Linked DNA regions of Schizosaccharomyces pombe. The protein of the gene in region 1 interacts with the protein of each later gene in a pairwise test. Each region holds a gene or a part of one and is shown on either strand. Other genes may lie near its edges.

Region 1 (5,319 bases):
CTTCCGATTTGCCATATCTTTTTACATTATGATCTGCTATGTCAAGCATAAACGAAGCTATCTGCTCTCGAATACGTAGACTATGCCACTGATGATATATGGTTTCATATGTATGTTTAGCGATACGAGGAGCAGTCGTAGGACTATCCGTAGGTAGTGTCCATTCAATATTATCAAAGTCACAGTCGTACAAAATCAAAGGATACTCACTTGCCATATCATAAATTGGCTTAGTAGGGACCTTTTTAATATCCAAAAGATCATTGATGAGAGAGGCCGGCTCAAGCTTTTGACCAATTAAAAATAGAATGGCCATCATACATCGTACCTGATGCCATAAAAATGCAGTTCCTTGTAGGTCAAAAGCGTAAAGACCGGTACTGGGATCAATGCAAATAACCTTTGAACTGAGAATTCGACGGTGATAATTTGTAATTTGTTTAGAAGCATCTATTTTGCAAAAATTTCGAAAGTCATGCTCACCTAGATAAAGTGCTGCGGCTTCATTCATTCGATCAATGTCAAGAGAACCACCGGGATAATCCTTAGTAAACAAGTATTTATAATGACGCTGTTTACAGGAAAATCGAGCATCAAAGCCTTCTGGTGGAAATGCATAGCCAGTAATACGTATATCTGCGGGCAACAGGCGATTCAATACATCACAATATATGATAGGTCTTCTTTCTGAATGTCGTACATTTAATGATATAACCTGACCCATGGCTGAAACTCCCTTATCAGTACGTCCACATCGACTAAAGGAACATGATGAAGGATCAGTGATGAGATGAGCTCTCAACAGCGCTTCAAACACCTTTCCTTCAACAGTGGGCAAAGGAGTCGGTTCTAACTGGTAGGCAAGACCATTGTAATTCCAACCACAATAGGCAAATTTAAAAGCAACAAAAACTGTTTTTTCTAGTTGAAACGGTCTGACAGGTTTCAGTTTTGGAAGACTACTTGCGTCCTGAAGCGCATGTTGCAAAACTAGTTCTTGGCTCAGATGCTGGGGTTCTATTTCATTTCCATTATCCAATTTGTTTTTATTTTTAATTACTTCATTTTTCCCCTCAATTTCTTTATTGGGAAGTGAATTTGTATTTTTTTGCAATTTCCCGTCCAATTCTAAAATTCTGGATATTAGCTGGTCTCGAGACCATCCAGCATATTTGGAGGCGGGCATTCGAAGGATTTTAGAAAATTGAAAAATCTTGCCTGAATTATATTGCCAATTTAATTACTGCCTTTGACGAGGTCAGGTGGCAGACGAATAGGTTCGCAAGGCTCTGATAATTAATGACTTGCTTGTCATAAGAGGCAGACATTTTCGCAGTAAAGTTATAAATCATCTATGTAACATTGAGAATTTATCAGATATATTTTTAGTTGCTCATTAGTACAACAGCTTTGGGATTCTGTATGGTCAGTTTGCAGTCTTGTTGGGCCAGCTGGAACTGTTACTAAAATATTGAGTTCACTTTACATTACGAGCAATGAAAATTATAGAAGCTTAGATTAACACAGCTACTTTCGAGATGATTCGTATTCCTTATAGTTGCATTGTAGACTTCCAATAAAGAAAGTGCATTTCCCGTTATGCAATTGATTTACTAGATAGTTCTTTAATATCAACATTATTGAAAATCACCTCTTTGTTGAGTCAACTCAATACTTAATATTTTTTTAAAGAATAAAATTCGCTACTGAATGTCGGTTGCTAATGAACAAAGCAATTGCTTCTACGAACTAATTTGTTAATTTTTTTTACTAAGCATTTCAATAGTTTGCCTTGTTAACGTATTTTTTATGTTCCTTGACATTTTTAATTTTAGTTTCTTCGTCTGCTACTAAACACGTTCACCTAAATCAATACTTGTTAAATTTAGCTGCAACACCGACATAAAAATTTATTTCATTACCTATAGTTACATTGAAACCGGTAGAAGGTTGTTTTTTGGTTCAAGAGTGACGTTTCGCTTATATTTTTTTTACTTATGTCGTTTTTAAAAAATCTCTTCAAGAAGAAATCCCCAACTCATGAATTATTCCATCCTTTATCGCGTTCTCCCTTAACGGCTCTTCGCCGTCGCTCTGAGCATATCAAACAAGTCTATCGGTGTCCAATTTCGGGAAAGTCAGTGGAATATGAGTGTCCTGAATCTGGATTTCCTACTCATTGTAATAGAACTCATTGGGAACAGGACAAGATTCACCAATCCCTTATCCCAAAACTACGCCAAATTAATGAAGACTATCATGACTTAGCACGACCAAACCCTTTGCCGGAACTACTCAAACTTCCTGGACCCATGGAAGAAGATGAAGTAGTTTCTCTTCTGTCATGGGATTCATTCTTCTATACCCGCGATTTCCCAAAGTTCCAATCGTCTAGAACTGCTAGACATATTACTAGTTTATTAACATATCCCATGTCAATCGGCGCTATCCTTCACAAGAATTCTCCTTATAATTTAAAAAATGGGTTAACTCCCCAGGGTCTACAATCATTAACTGCTCTACGATATATGCTTCATCGTCCTTTGTCTGCTCAATCTACTGATCCCAGACCCACTAGAATTTTCGTTTTGGGTGCTACCAAAGAATGTTCATTACCACCATCAATTTGGTTACAAGGATTGAACTTTTTGTTCCCAGGTCGTTTATTTCAATTGCATTTTATCGGACCTGAAGTTGTTGTTCCTTCTAAGCAACCCAATTTGCCTTCCCCACTCAGCCTTCATTTTCATCAGGATTACTACCACAATTTGCATAGAGTTGGAGCCTTTGAGCCTTTTGACCCCTACTATGATACTTTTTTTCTTCCGATGCCTCTTATAAGTCATCCACTTTATTCTTCATCGTGGATTCCGACACTTCACGATTTGGTATCGACTCGTTGCTCTGTATGGCTCACAAGTCCTTCATCTCAAAGAACAACCAAAGATTTGGAAGTTCTTAATAATGTTTTGAAAGATTCAATTGAGCCCTTGTTATTGCCAACTGTTAATAAATTTGCCAGCTTAGGCTGGTCTGTTGATGATTCAAACCTTCATGAAGTTTATCACGCAAATCAAGAAGTATTTGGATTCAGAGCCCTTTATTATAATGTCCAAAATGTTTCCAAAGAGTAATTCTTGTCCGTTAAGTCGTCTACCATCTTCCAATTTCATATTCTAATCTAAAAGCAATCTATTAATGAATTTTAAGGTCCAAATTTTGGATTGTGAATAAACAAAATATTAGTATATATGTAATGATTATCAATTACGAATTTTGAAAAGAAGACATGCCACCTTATGTCAAAACAAGCTAACCATACTTATTTTTAAACATTTTCATTACTACTTTAAAGGTGTATCAATAAAATAAATTTATTGGGTGTCAATTCTTTAAATTGGAATGTAATTAAGTAAATAGTAACTATAATTATGGGTTTATAAACGCAATATCAATTTAAATAAAAAGAAGATCAAAAGCAAATGGGTTAATTTAATTAATTCATCACATACAAATGATTATTTAGAATACACACATTCTCATACTAACAATAACTTATATCAGGGATAATCCAGCGATTAATAAAAATTATCCCGATTTATCCTGTTTAGAGGGCCTCTCCAACACGAACATATTGGCCTTGATAAGTGGAAAACTCAAAGTCGGCAGGTGCTTCGAATACCAAAACAACGGTACTTCCGAGTTGAAACCCACCAACTTGTTCGCCACGACTAACTGGCATACCGTCTAAAACAGGAGAAGCGTTCTTGTAAACTGCTTCTTGAAACGTACCTAATGACTTCTTCCGTAAGACGAGGCGATTGGTAGATAAAGTAGGATCACAATTAATGACAATGCTACCCACATTGGTTGCACCTACAGGAATCATACTCATAAATCCATGTTCGTAACGACCCAATAATGCTACGCGTTCATTCAACACAAAAAGGTTGTGTAGTCTTCGCGCCAAAAATGGAGAAACACTAAAGAGTTCACCTGAAAAGTGACGCCTAGATTCAATAACCCAATCAGCAGGAGAGTGAAATCTATGATAGTCACCTGGTGCTAAGTAAATCACAGAGTAAAACAGCTTATTGCCAGGACGGATATTGTGCCAAGGTAATGAGTCAATGTCCGTAACGTCAGCTTCTTGTACCCAATCATCCCAGTTAGTTGGTTCGTGTTCAAGAATTGAAGCAGGAGCAGATTCAAAATCACTAGATGACTCACTCCTCAAGTCATCGTCACCTCCAAGGTTATTCAGATCGAAATTGCTTGAGGGAGAGAGTCGTTTTCCGCATGAGCTACGAACGGAATTTGAAATATCTTCAAAGGCAGAAAAGGGACAGAAATAATTTAAGGAATTACGAGAGTCATTAAGATAAAAATGCGGATGGTCAGTAAAAGCACAAAGAAGTGCTTCCTCGTCAGAATGTTCATCCACAACGGCAGCTGAAGCATCAGCTTTACGATAGCGGTTATTAGAATTTAAGGAAATTGAGTGTTGTTCAGCAAATTGCTCGTGCTTTTGAATAAGATCAGGAGTTATTTCATCCTCAAAGTTGACGACTAAAGGATTCGAACTTGATATACCTCCTAAAAGAGCTTCAAGAGAGTAAGAAAGACCTTTGACATGCTGAATTCGATTATTATCGACAACTCCCTGACAAACGATACGGCCATCTACCGGTGATACGACAGGAGAAACAGGATCAACGGGTCTAGTCTCTGGACGAAGCTCACGGCAAAAGAAATCTTGAAAATTACGGTAATGAGTCAAATCAGGATCCTTCAATTCGCTTAAATTGCATCCAAAAACCCAAGCATATAGTTTAAATCCGGGTGTACGCAAAAAAGTAGGTAAATGAGCTCTGTTAAATTGTCCCCAGACACGAGAAAGGCTCCTTAATGGAAGAGAGCTTAATAAATATACCTGCCAGGAACCATTAGGACGGACACTTATAGAAAGGCGCCCCAAGCGGCGACTCCTGCGAATGCGATGGATACGATTTGAGATCCATTTTAATCTCATGGAAACGCGTACGTTCATTCCATTTAGGGCCTTAACACCTTTCAAAGCGCCGACACCACCGAAGCCTCGAAGGTTAACTTTTGACCAACGAGGATGAAAACGACGAAATCTTTGACGAGGACGCATGTTTGATCGGTATAAATTTCCTTAGTTAGGTATGCTAAATCTAAAATTGAAAACTTGTAAAAAAAATATAAAAAGTACCTAGAAGTTTAAGTACCTTCGATGTCTATTTGGAAAATCCAGAGATGTGGAACTAAGCGAATAAATGTAGAGGTTGTGCTTCC
Region 2 (5,225 bases), on another chromosome or scaffold:
AGCCTGTAATAATTCGCGTGGTTCGTGTATCTGGTACAATAAAAAAGGCAGAATTAGCTGCCATTGAACGAAATAAATCAGAAATTCATAACATCTCTCTGATGGATGAACCTATTGAAGTTTAAACCCTCCATCTTTGGCATTTGCTGGGTTCGCAAGTTTTTACTTTGACTTCACCTCTAAAGATCGAACTCAAGACGAAATTTTTTTTATGCCTTCATGTGCTTCAAACTTATATATTGATTCCTTGGTTTCGTTCCAAAACCCAATTGATGCAGTGTGTGCAGAAAGTTGCTGCTGTATCCACCTTATTTCTCATGGGTATATTCATATAAAACTTTAATTCATTAATCCAGAGAGGAGGCATATGTTTACCCATAGCTGTTTAGATTTTGAAATTGAGGATCTGGGAAGATCTAAATAACAAGTATGCTGCATTTCCATTGCCAAGTATGAGTAAACTCTTTAAACTATACAACTATTCAATCGCCAAAAAAAAATTTGATGAACTTGGAGCTATTAAGTTAATACTTTTCTCTTGGAAAATGAGATATCGTCTGTTTTGGGAATACCTTGTTTACTATTTTCATTGTATCATCTGTTAAGCTTGACAACGGCCAAAAAGAGTTGTATCTACGAATGCATACTTTTGCCCATAAAAAAATAAACATTTACGTATTGGAATGAAAAAAATCATTGCAGGTCTCAGTAAACATCTCATGAATGTGTTTTCTTCGTGGGAAGGTACATCCTTAATATATCCCAATGATTCTAAATTTCCAGCAATCGTTATCAATTTTATTTTTTACAGACAAACGAATAATTTATTTAGCTGTTGACGGATGCTATAATTCTATGTCGTTAAAGACTGTATACACTTTACAGTTTGAAAAGTTTGCTTGACATTTACCGGTGCTTCTACAAGGTCTAAAGTAAGAAAGATAAACCAAAACTATTGTCATTACAACAGTTAACAGTAGCCAAAGACAGCTATAATCCCAACAAACATATAAAAATTCCTTAAATTAGGGGATTTTCTCAAGTAACGATTTTAAAAACCAGATAACAATCCTACTGAGTCAAAGAAGCAACCATATCCTTATAACGAAAACATCAGAAATTACTCAAATGATTAACAATATCAATAAACTAATCTATCAATTATTTTCGATGAACATTACTTCTTCTTATCCTTGATTAACAGCTATGTATGCTATTTTATGATATCTTCTCTTGAAAACCCCAAAAAAACAGTCACATTAAGAAGAATATAAAGGGCACTGTGCTTTCTGCTTTTGCATAGTTCTTTCACCTGGAGTGTGCTCATCTAAATAGTAAATAGGTAAGTTTCATCATTTCACAAATGGAGATTTCAGAGGATGCGAAATATATACCCAAATTGTATAGCAAGGATAACGGGGTAATCGTTTTGGTTGCCTTCTTGCAGTGATAAAGCATTTTGTCATAGTTACACTGATGAAATTCTTCATTTGCTTAAAACTTTTTGGTCTTAAGTTTGAAAATTCTTTACTAATTTTGAAATAGATAAAAGAAGCCGTTTTTAACAGTTAGACACCATCCTATTCTTGAGATGGTTTTTTTATTCGATCCACGAGTTTTTGATAATTACCGATACTATAAATTTAATAAGAAATTAAAAATTTACTTTATTAAGTCAAAACTTGTTTACATTTAGTAGTAATTTAATTACAATTGAAAGAGTAATGTTGGTAGTGATATATATCTATGCAGACTTGTATGTAATGTAGACATTCTTTAAATCAGAGAACCGTAAAGTTCGGTTGTCCTCCTTAACTTTAGATAATGCAACCGTACATATTTTGCAGGGCTTGACTTTAGCGAACTGCATAGTCCAGTTGTTCATGGTTTGGTTAAAACAATACAACGTAGCATACTGTGGAAGTAAATCGCTCATTTTTGCTATGGTTTTTTTACTGTTAAATGCTTTGGTAATGAAGTAAATAAACTTAGACAGAAACACAAGATGACTGTTTGATCGGCTGAAAATACATACGGCAATTCTTTTGAAAATCGGATTGTATTTGTACTATACAGTATCGTATTTACTGCGACTTTCCTATGCACTAATTAATATACCACACTGACGGTACGAAGCGAATGCCTGTAATCGTGACGTTGTTCACTACCACCGATAGAATAAATGCAAACTTATCTTTAGCAAACAACTCCCATATTCTAAGACAAATAGTTCGTTCAAAAGAAAAATTATTGAACACTCAGATAATTTAATTAAGCAGTACCAAAATGTCTTTTCAAGTTCGTGTTAAGCAGAATATGCAAGATTTGGATAACAGGGTATGTTAGCAATAAGGCAGGATATCCGATGGAAGCCGCTTTACGCACTCGGCAATATAGGCTATTATTAGTATCTTGTGATTTTAGAAATTATTCTTTCTATTCAAATTTGTTTACTAACTTTTTTTTCCAGTTGGCAGCCTTTCCTCAACTCAACAGTTTGGAAAAAAATTTTGGTGTTAGCAAGCTTTATGTTTTTCTTACTGCAGCTGGTATATATGCCTTGTTCCTTTTCTTGAACTGGGGTGGATTTTTACTGACCAACCTTCTGGCATTCGCGATGCCTGCCTTCTTTAGTATCAATGCTATTGAAACTACTAACAAGGCCGATGACACTCAATGGTTGACCTATTATTTGGTAACTTCATTCCTCAACGTTATTGAGTACTGGTCTCAGCTAATCCTTTACTATGTCCGTAAGTGTTTAAATTTTTTGTATTTAGAGGCGTGATTATAAGATCATTAAGGATCTAATAAATTTTGCTCTCTGCTTTTAAATTTATTTTTTTTATTTACTAACTGGGGATTTTCCTTTTTAGCTGTGTATTGGTTACTCAAGGCTATTTTCTTGATTTGGCTTGCTTTGCCTAAATTCAACGGTGCTACCATTATCTACAGACACTTGATCCGTCCCTATATCACTCCTCATGTGATCCGTATTTGCAAAAGCGTTTCTCGTCAAAATGCCGCTCCTGCGCCCACAGCCTCTTCTTTTGCACATACTACCGCTACTGACATTCCACCCTCTATCTAGAGATTTCTGAACAAAATGTTTGGAATGGACTTGTATTCCATAGAATAGTTATGCTATACTACTCGATGAATGATTGAAAATCATACAACGGTAACGTTGTTTTCTTGTTTTTTCCCATCACAATTGACTATATTTTGGACAATTGCAAATAATTCAGTGTTTCAGAAGCTTTGCCTTTCTGAATCTCTTTCCTCTAGTTCTGATTATTTTTATTGACTGTCAAAAATTTAAAAAAATTTGGCCTTTTATATGCCGCTTTCGGCATGGACCTCGGCAATGTTGAAGGGTTTATACTATATGTATATCGCGTAGTCTTTTTGAGCAGTACAAAATTATAAGGCTGCATGCTTTACCACAGTACCGAAATTGCAATAGACATTTATTTTATGGCAACTATAGTAACTTACACACACATCCCAAAAGCAATAACCAGACTACAGTATACTTACAATGATATACCCATATTCGAAATTGCTGAAAAAAATTCTGAAGATTAATAACAAAGTACTATCTCAAAGTAACTGCCGCTTTGTAGAATTGTAATATAAAAATATCGCAATCAATTTATATTTTGTACAAATACATACAATACGTCTTTCAATAAACAGTTAACCCATTATAGCGTCGTTAAACACAATAATGAACTCTACCACTTTACATTGTGCATTTAAGAAACTTCGTTAAACCACATCAGTTTCTCGCTTATACTCGAAGTTTCTAGCATTACATCATGCCATGGTATATGGTCCGTCCCAGCGGGTACAAAAACATCTACTGTCTTCACACATTTTGTTTCGTTTCCAAACGATATTTAGAGTGTATTGCAACGTTTACATTCCATTAATATTTGGTCGAAAGAATAGTATTTCTTATTGACTTTACATACACTACTTTGGTACTATTTTTCTTGAAAATTCAGGAACATTGTACAATTTGAATTGTAAGGTTTTCTTACGAAATATATATAAAGGAGTTATAACACAAGAAAAGTGGAAAAATAAAACTTTCATTTCGTTTATTCGAGAACAAATAAACCGAAAAAGCTTCGCTTTTGTTTGATTTTTCGTTTCTATTTATTTCTCTTCATTTTTCTCGTTTTTTTGATTCCACCATAACGATTTATATTGTGTTTGTGTTTGATAAAGCATCTACACTCGCACTTTCCTTTTTCATATTTCACACAGATAGAAAAAACAACAATTACTACAAAACATCATGGTAGCAGATACCAAATTATACGATTGTTTGGAGGTCCGCCCCGAGGCCTCTGAGGCAGAGTTAAAGAAGGCATATCGAAAACTTGCACTTAAATACCATCCAGACAAAAATCCTAATGGTGAGAAGAAATTTAAAGAAATTTCTCTTGCTTACGAAGTATTGAGCGATCCCCAGCGCCGTAAGCTTTATGACCAATACGGTATCACAGAAGGGAATGCTGCTCCACCACCACCGGGTGCTGAAGGTGGCCCTGGTGCAGGCTTTGGCGGCTTCCCAGGCGCCGGACCTGGTGGAGCTCGAACATTCCACTTTAATATGGGTGGCCCAGGTGGAGCTCAATTTTTCAGTGCCAGTGATCCGAACGACATTTTTGAAAGAGTATTTGGTCATGCCTTTGCTGGCGGTGGAGGCATGGGCGGAGGAATGGGTGGAATGGGTGGTATGGACGATGATATGGACATGGATGGAGGTTTTGGTACGCGGACTCGTGGAGGTGGTATGCCTGGCGGATTCGCTAATATGTTTGGCGGTGGTGGAGCAGGTCCTCACGCCAGACGTAGCCATCCATCTTTTGGTGGATCCCGTCCTAGTCAACCCCCCGCTCAAAACGAGGTTATCACTCGACCCCTTAACGTGAGCCTGGAGGATCTATTTACCGGATGTACCAAGAAGATGAAAATATCTAGACACATAATTGATGCTTCTGGTCAATCGGTGAAAGCGGACCGAATTTTGGAGATCAAAGTAAAGCCTGGATGGAAAGCTGGCACTAAAATCAAGTTTGCTGGTGAGGGTGATGAGAAACCGGACGGAACTGTTCAAGACATTCAGTTCGTGCTAGCTGAAAAACCTCATCCTGTTTTCACACGCTCTGGTGATGATCTCCGTATGCAAGTAGAGCTATCCTTGAAGGAAG
Region 3 (4,694 bases), 2.8 Mb from region 1:
GATTCAGTCATAGGCACTATGATAAAGGAATTTTCTGAAGAAGCTAATTTGGACGTTTCTTCTATGAATCTTATTCCTTGTGGCACTGTCTCCTACATCAAAATGGAGAAAAGGCATTGGATTCAGCCCGAGTTACAATATGTATTCGATTTACCTGTTGATGATCTTGTTATCCCAAGAATTAATGATGGAGAAGTCGCTGGTTTCAGTTTATTACCATTGAATCAAGTACTTCATGAACTTGAATTAAAAAGTTTTAAGCCAAATTGTGCTCTGGTTCTTTTAGACTTTTTAATCCGTCATGGTATCATTACTCCACAGCATCCTCAGTATCTCCAAACTTTAGAACGGATACATAGACCGTTGCCTGTTCCTGTTGGAAAATATGAAAGAGGGGATTCTTTTGAAGATACTTCAAAGAAAGCTGAAACGTGTGTTCCTGCAAAACCCCAAAAAGCCACTCATCAGCTAGCTCCATGTAAGGCTTGGTTACGTGACTATGATACTGATCAAAAGTTTGCGGTATTACTATTAAATCAACCCATAGATATACCGGATGATAGATTTCGTACTTTATGGAAAAGAGCTAGTATCCGAGTCTGCGCAGACGGTGGTGCTAACCAATTGAGAAATTACGATTCTTCGCTCAAACCGGATTATGTCGTTGGTGACTTTGATTCGTTAACAGATGAAACTAAAGCTTATTATAAAGAAATGGGAGTCAACATTGTATTCGACCCATGCCAAAACACCACTGACTTTATGAAATGCCATAAAATAATTAAAGAACATGGGATTGATACTATTTTTGTATTATGTGGCATGGGTGGAAGAGTTGATCATGCCATTGGTAATTTAAACCATCTATTCTGGGCCGCCTCGATTTCTGAAAAGAATGAAGTATTTCTATTAACTGAATTGAATGTATCAACTTTGCTTCAACCCGGAATAAATCATGTTGATTGTCACGACAACATTGGTTTACATTGCGGTCTTCTGCCAGTAGGACAGAGTGTGTATGTTAAAAAAACCAGCGGCCTTGAGTGGAATATTGAGGATCGCATTTGTCAATTTGGAGGACTCGTCAGCTCTTGCAATGTAGTGACAAAAGCAACGGTGACTATAGAGGTCAACAATTTTATAGTATGGACAATGGAAACACGTCTATAAGACCTGTAAGTAAGAAACTCAGAAAGAATATTCATTATTCCCAACAGCTCAAAAAAATTAAGATATTTATTTAGATATAAAAAATATAAAACATCTATAGAGTATAAGCGGTAATGGTCATAAAGCAAAAAGATAATTGATTAGAGTAATGAAATAAAATAGAATTTTAGTAAAGCCAACTAACATTTTGAACTGCAAGATACATCTCAGAAAGTGAAGAAATAGAAAAAAATCATAATTTTTCATATTGTTGAGCTTGACATGTCATTTTTATCCTCCTCGATACACCCGACAGTTCAGAATCCAAGCTGGACAATTAAAGGTATTTGAATGTATAACCCTAAAACCCATCACAAATACCATAGCTACTACGCTAATGTTGATATACAAAAATTATACATAGTTAAGAGATCGTATACATATTTATACTCATTAACTACTCTGAGGATGACTGCTAAAGTGACTGTCTTTTAGAACACCTACCCTGAAGAAAACGAATGTATCCAGAATAAATCATATGTAGGAGGACATCGGGAAAAGAGGGGGGTAGGAACAAGAACCGAATCAAATAATATAGTTAGAAATAAAAAAAAGTCTACACTTCATCAACGTTATCATCCCAATCATTATCACGCATGCTTCTGGGAGCGTAGTCTTGCAATCCTGCTACGTAGTTTGCACCACAGTAGGCGATACCTGCAAGAAGAACTAAAAAGCCTAGGAAAGAAGTAAACCCGGAGTAAGAAAAGAGTAAAGTACCCATGAAAGCGTAGAAGAAGCCCCTTCCTAAGAATGAGAACATGAACGATCCATATTTAATAGCAATAGGAGGAATTTCCTTTTCTAAACCAATAGTTCCCAAACCGAAAACGATGATGAACAATGCAAGTAAAGCGTTTACGAAGCTAAATGAAAATAACTTGATAAATCCGCTTAAAACGAAGATACCACCTACGCCCAAATTAATGGCACTAAACATTTTTGTTTTATCCATTGTGAATTAAGTGTATGCAACCAATATTAAATTTTTCAAGCAATATGTATTTTAGTCGATGTTTGCTTAAAGACAAAGAGAAATGCAAGTTACTAAGCCTGCCTATGCTTACCGATGCGGTCATGCATATTTACGAACTATTGAAATACGGTAAATAAAAATAACGAATTCCATAATTCTCAACCAACTTTTTGTTGTTTACAGAAAATGAATAATTCAATTCATCGAAAATGCATTTTGTTTTCTATAGCATTCTTTGTACTGTTTTTGAAGTTAAAAACACTATCATTTAGTAAATAATGTACTTTCGACCCGGCTTTTTTTTGAGACAACTGTTGTTGACAATTTTAAGGTCTGTGGGTCAATTTATATATTTGTCAAACGTTCGTAAACAAATGTATTTGTATCTTAGTTTCATACGAGCTCCTTTAGCTATATGTGATCTACTCTCACTCGGGATCTACAGGGCTGTAAAATTTTTTGCACTCAAGTTTCACGCGATTATTATCAGATGCACCTGAATAAAAAAGAATAAAGTAAAATAAAAAGCCGAATGTTTTATAACGTAGTAAAATTCCTTCTTATTTTGATCGCTTTGCCATTCATTTGATTATGTTTATAATGATAATTTCACGTGCAATGTCAACTTTGATAGACGGCTACATCTATTTCTAATTCGTAACGCTATAAAAAAAAACTCCATTTTAAACTGAGAATAAAGCAAGAAGTCGATTAGCCGAATATAGATATCAGCATGATTCGTTTTAAACGGCCCAAAGCCTTGTATATATTTGAGTAATTTTCTACTGTACTTAATTGTCTGTAATTAAACAACTATTTGTTACTCCTACCTTGTTACACTTGGATTTAATACTCTGGAATTAGTGTACTAACTCCTAAATAAATATTTAAGTAGTATTTTTCTTTAAGATATTTCTTTAATAAACATTCTCTTCTAATGAAAAGAAAAGCGTCATTATTGGTATTTTAGTTTTCAGAGCAAAGAGGTACTTAACATTTATTATGTCGCAATTATTTTATATATATATTATATTAATATTTTGTAATGAGAAACCTAGGCCTAATAGTGTAGTGGTTAACATACCTCTTTCGGGTAATCCCCACTTGTATGCTGAGTTTAGAGGTGATCCCTGGTTCGAATCCTGGTTAGGCCCCTTTTTATACTGGGCTTGCTGTATAAATTTATCTGATTAATTTTGAAACTACGCAAACCAACTTTCAATAATTAAAAAGTTTTCCTTACACCTTGCTTGATTACCTTTTAATAGATGTGAAATAAGAACTACTAAATTTGTGATAAATACCGAAAACAATCAGAAGAGTCGAAAAGAAGCATTCAAAAAATTGTGTAAATAACGAGTAGGTTTCTAATAATACGATAATTTCACAGGATGCCTATAATGGATCTGGCAGCTAATGAGCAAATCATTTTTACTTTTTTTTTTATTTAAAACATACGAAAAGATTCTCTTTTTTTGCTGCAAACAAAATTTACTGTAATTGAACCTAGAATTGGTAGCAAAGGCATTACACCGTATTACTGTAAACTTCACTAATGTTTGTGTTTTTAGGCGCATGATGAACATGATTACTCAAGAAAGTAACCAGCGACTATGTCAAATTTGCTTCTGATCATTGACTCGGTTTCACAAAAAATAAGAGACAGGAGGAAGTTGGAAGAGTTTGGACAGAATCCCGATGAAGAAATTGAGTCTTCATTGAAAGATGTTCGGCAAGAATTGCAAAAACTTAATGAGGAGCAATCGCGATTAGAGAAAAATGCACAAATCCCAGAGTACAGAGTACGAGAATCCGAAGCATTTCTTATTAGAATGCAAAGGAGGTTAGAGTCTGCTGAGGAAGAGTTTGAGAAGCAGCGGCGTGCATCCTCAATTCCTGCTGACGGAACAAGTGCCTTTTCTGCAAACCCGCAAGTTGCAAGTACGAATAATAAGTTAACTCCCCTTCCTTCTTTACAAAAAACGACTTCGAGTAGTGAGGGATCTGATATTGAGATGGAGGCCATGTATCCGGTTGATGGCAATGACCCTGATCCCATAAACGTAAACGTTTTGGCTCAAATGCATCAGCAAATGCTCAACGAACAAGAAGAATCTTTAGGAGGGATCGAAGCAAGTGTCCAAAGGCAAAAGCGGATGGGATATGCAATGAATACAGAATTGTCCGAACAAAATGTTTTACTAGATAATATGAATAATGATGCTGATCGAATTGAGAGGAGGTTTGATCATGCAAAAAATCGATTAAACAAGGTCAGCCGAAAGGCTAAACAGTATCCCAGATGCTTTATTATTTTGCTCCTTTGTGCGTTGTTATTACTTGTGGCTTCCATTTAGGGTGCAAATAAATATCACTTAGCAATTGTACTTGCTGTAACTCTGTTACACTTTCACTTAATTCTTTTATTTCACGTCCTCTTTGAACTAGGCTATATAGTTCTTTTATTTATATTTAATAACCGTGATATTTACGAACTTTTTTTTTACGA

What was found. The genes of interacting proteins can lie anywhere in the genome.
Region 2: the proteins of mss51 (region 1) and yop1 interact in a two-hybrid assay, tested with the Schizosaccharomyces pombe proteins (one large-scale study listed by BioGRID).
Region 3: the proteins of mss51 (region 1) and tvp15 interact in a two-hybrid assay, tested with the Schizosaccharomyces pombe proteins (one large-scale study listed by BioGRID).

Annotation. Positions count from the first base shown.
Region 1 is NC_003424.3:4,158,667-4,163,985, reverse strand, and holds mss51 (splicing suppressor Mss51), read left to right. Parts: upstream 1-1,833; 5' UTR 1,834-1,997; coding exon 1,998-3,134; 3' UTR 3,135-3,388; downstream 3,389-5,319. Other genes in the region: deg1 (tRNA-pseudouridine synthase), read right to left, coding at 1-1,186; phosphatidylserine decarboxylase Psd2, read right to left, coding at 3,608-5,158. UniProt on the Schizosaccharomyces pombe protein: Has a dual role in the assembly of cytochrome oxidase subunit 1 (cox1). It has a regulative function on cox1 synthesis, acting as a translational activator specific for the cox1 mRNA, and it also binds to newly synthesized cox1 protein.
Region 2 is NC_003421.2:2,194,174-2,199,398, reverse strand, and holds yop1 (ER membrane protein DP1/Yop1), read left to right. Parts: upstream 1-2,198; 5' UTR 2,199-2,286; coding exon 2,287-2,337; intron 2,338-2,470; coding exon 2,471-2,753; intron 2,754-2,876; coding exon 2,877-3,091; 3' UTR 3,092-3,606; downstream 3,607-5,225. Other genes in the region: Rnase P/MRP subunit Pop5, read left to right, coding at 1-125; DNAJ domain-containing protein Psi1, read left to right, coding at 4,307-5,225. UniProt on the Schizosaccharomyces pombe protein: Required to generate and maintain the structure of the tubular endoplasmic reticulum network and the vacuole. Induces high curvature in membranes and causes membrane tubule formation. Involved in membrane/vesicle trafficking.
Region 3 is NC_003424.3:1,313,569-1,318,262, reverse strand, and holds tvp15 (COPI-coated vesicle-associated protein), read right to left. Parts: upstream 2,239-4,694; 5' UTR 2,165-2,238; coding exon 1,766-2,164; 3' UTR 1,620-1,765; downstream 1-1,619. Other genes in the region: tnr3 (thiamine diphosphokinase Tnr3/ Nudix hydrolase fusion protein), read left to right, coding at 1-1,170; fsv1 (SNARE Stx8), read left to right, coding at 3,799-4,542. UniProt on the Schizosaccharomyces pombe protein: Golgi membrane protein involved in vesicular trafficking.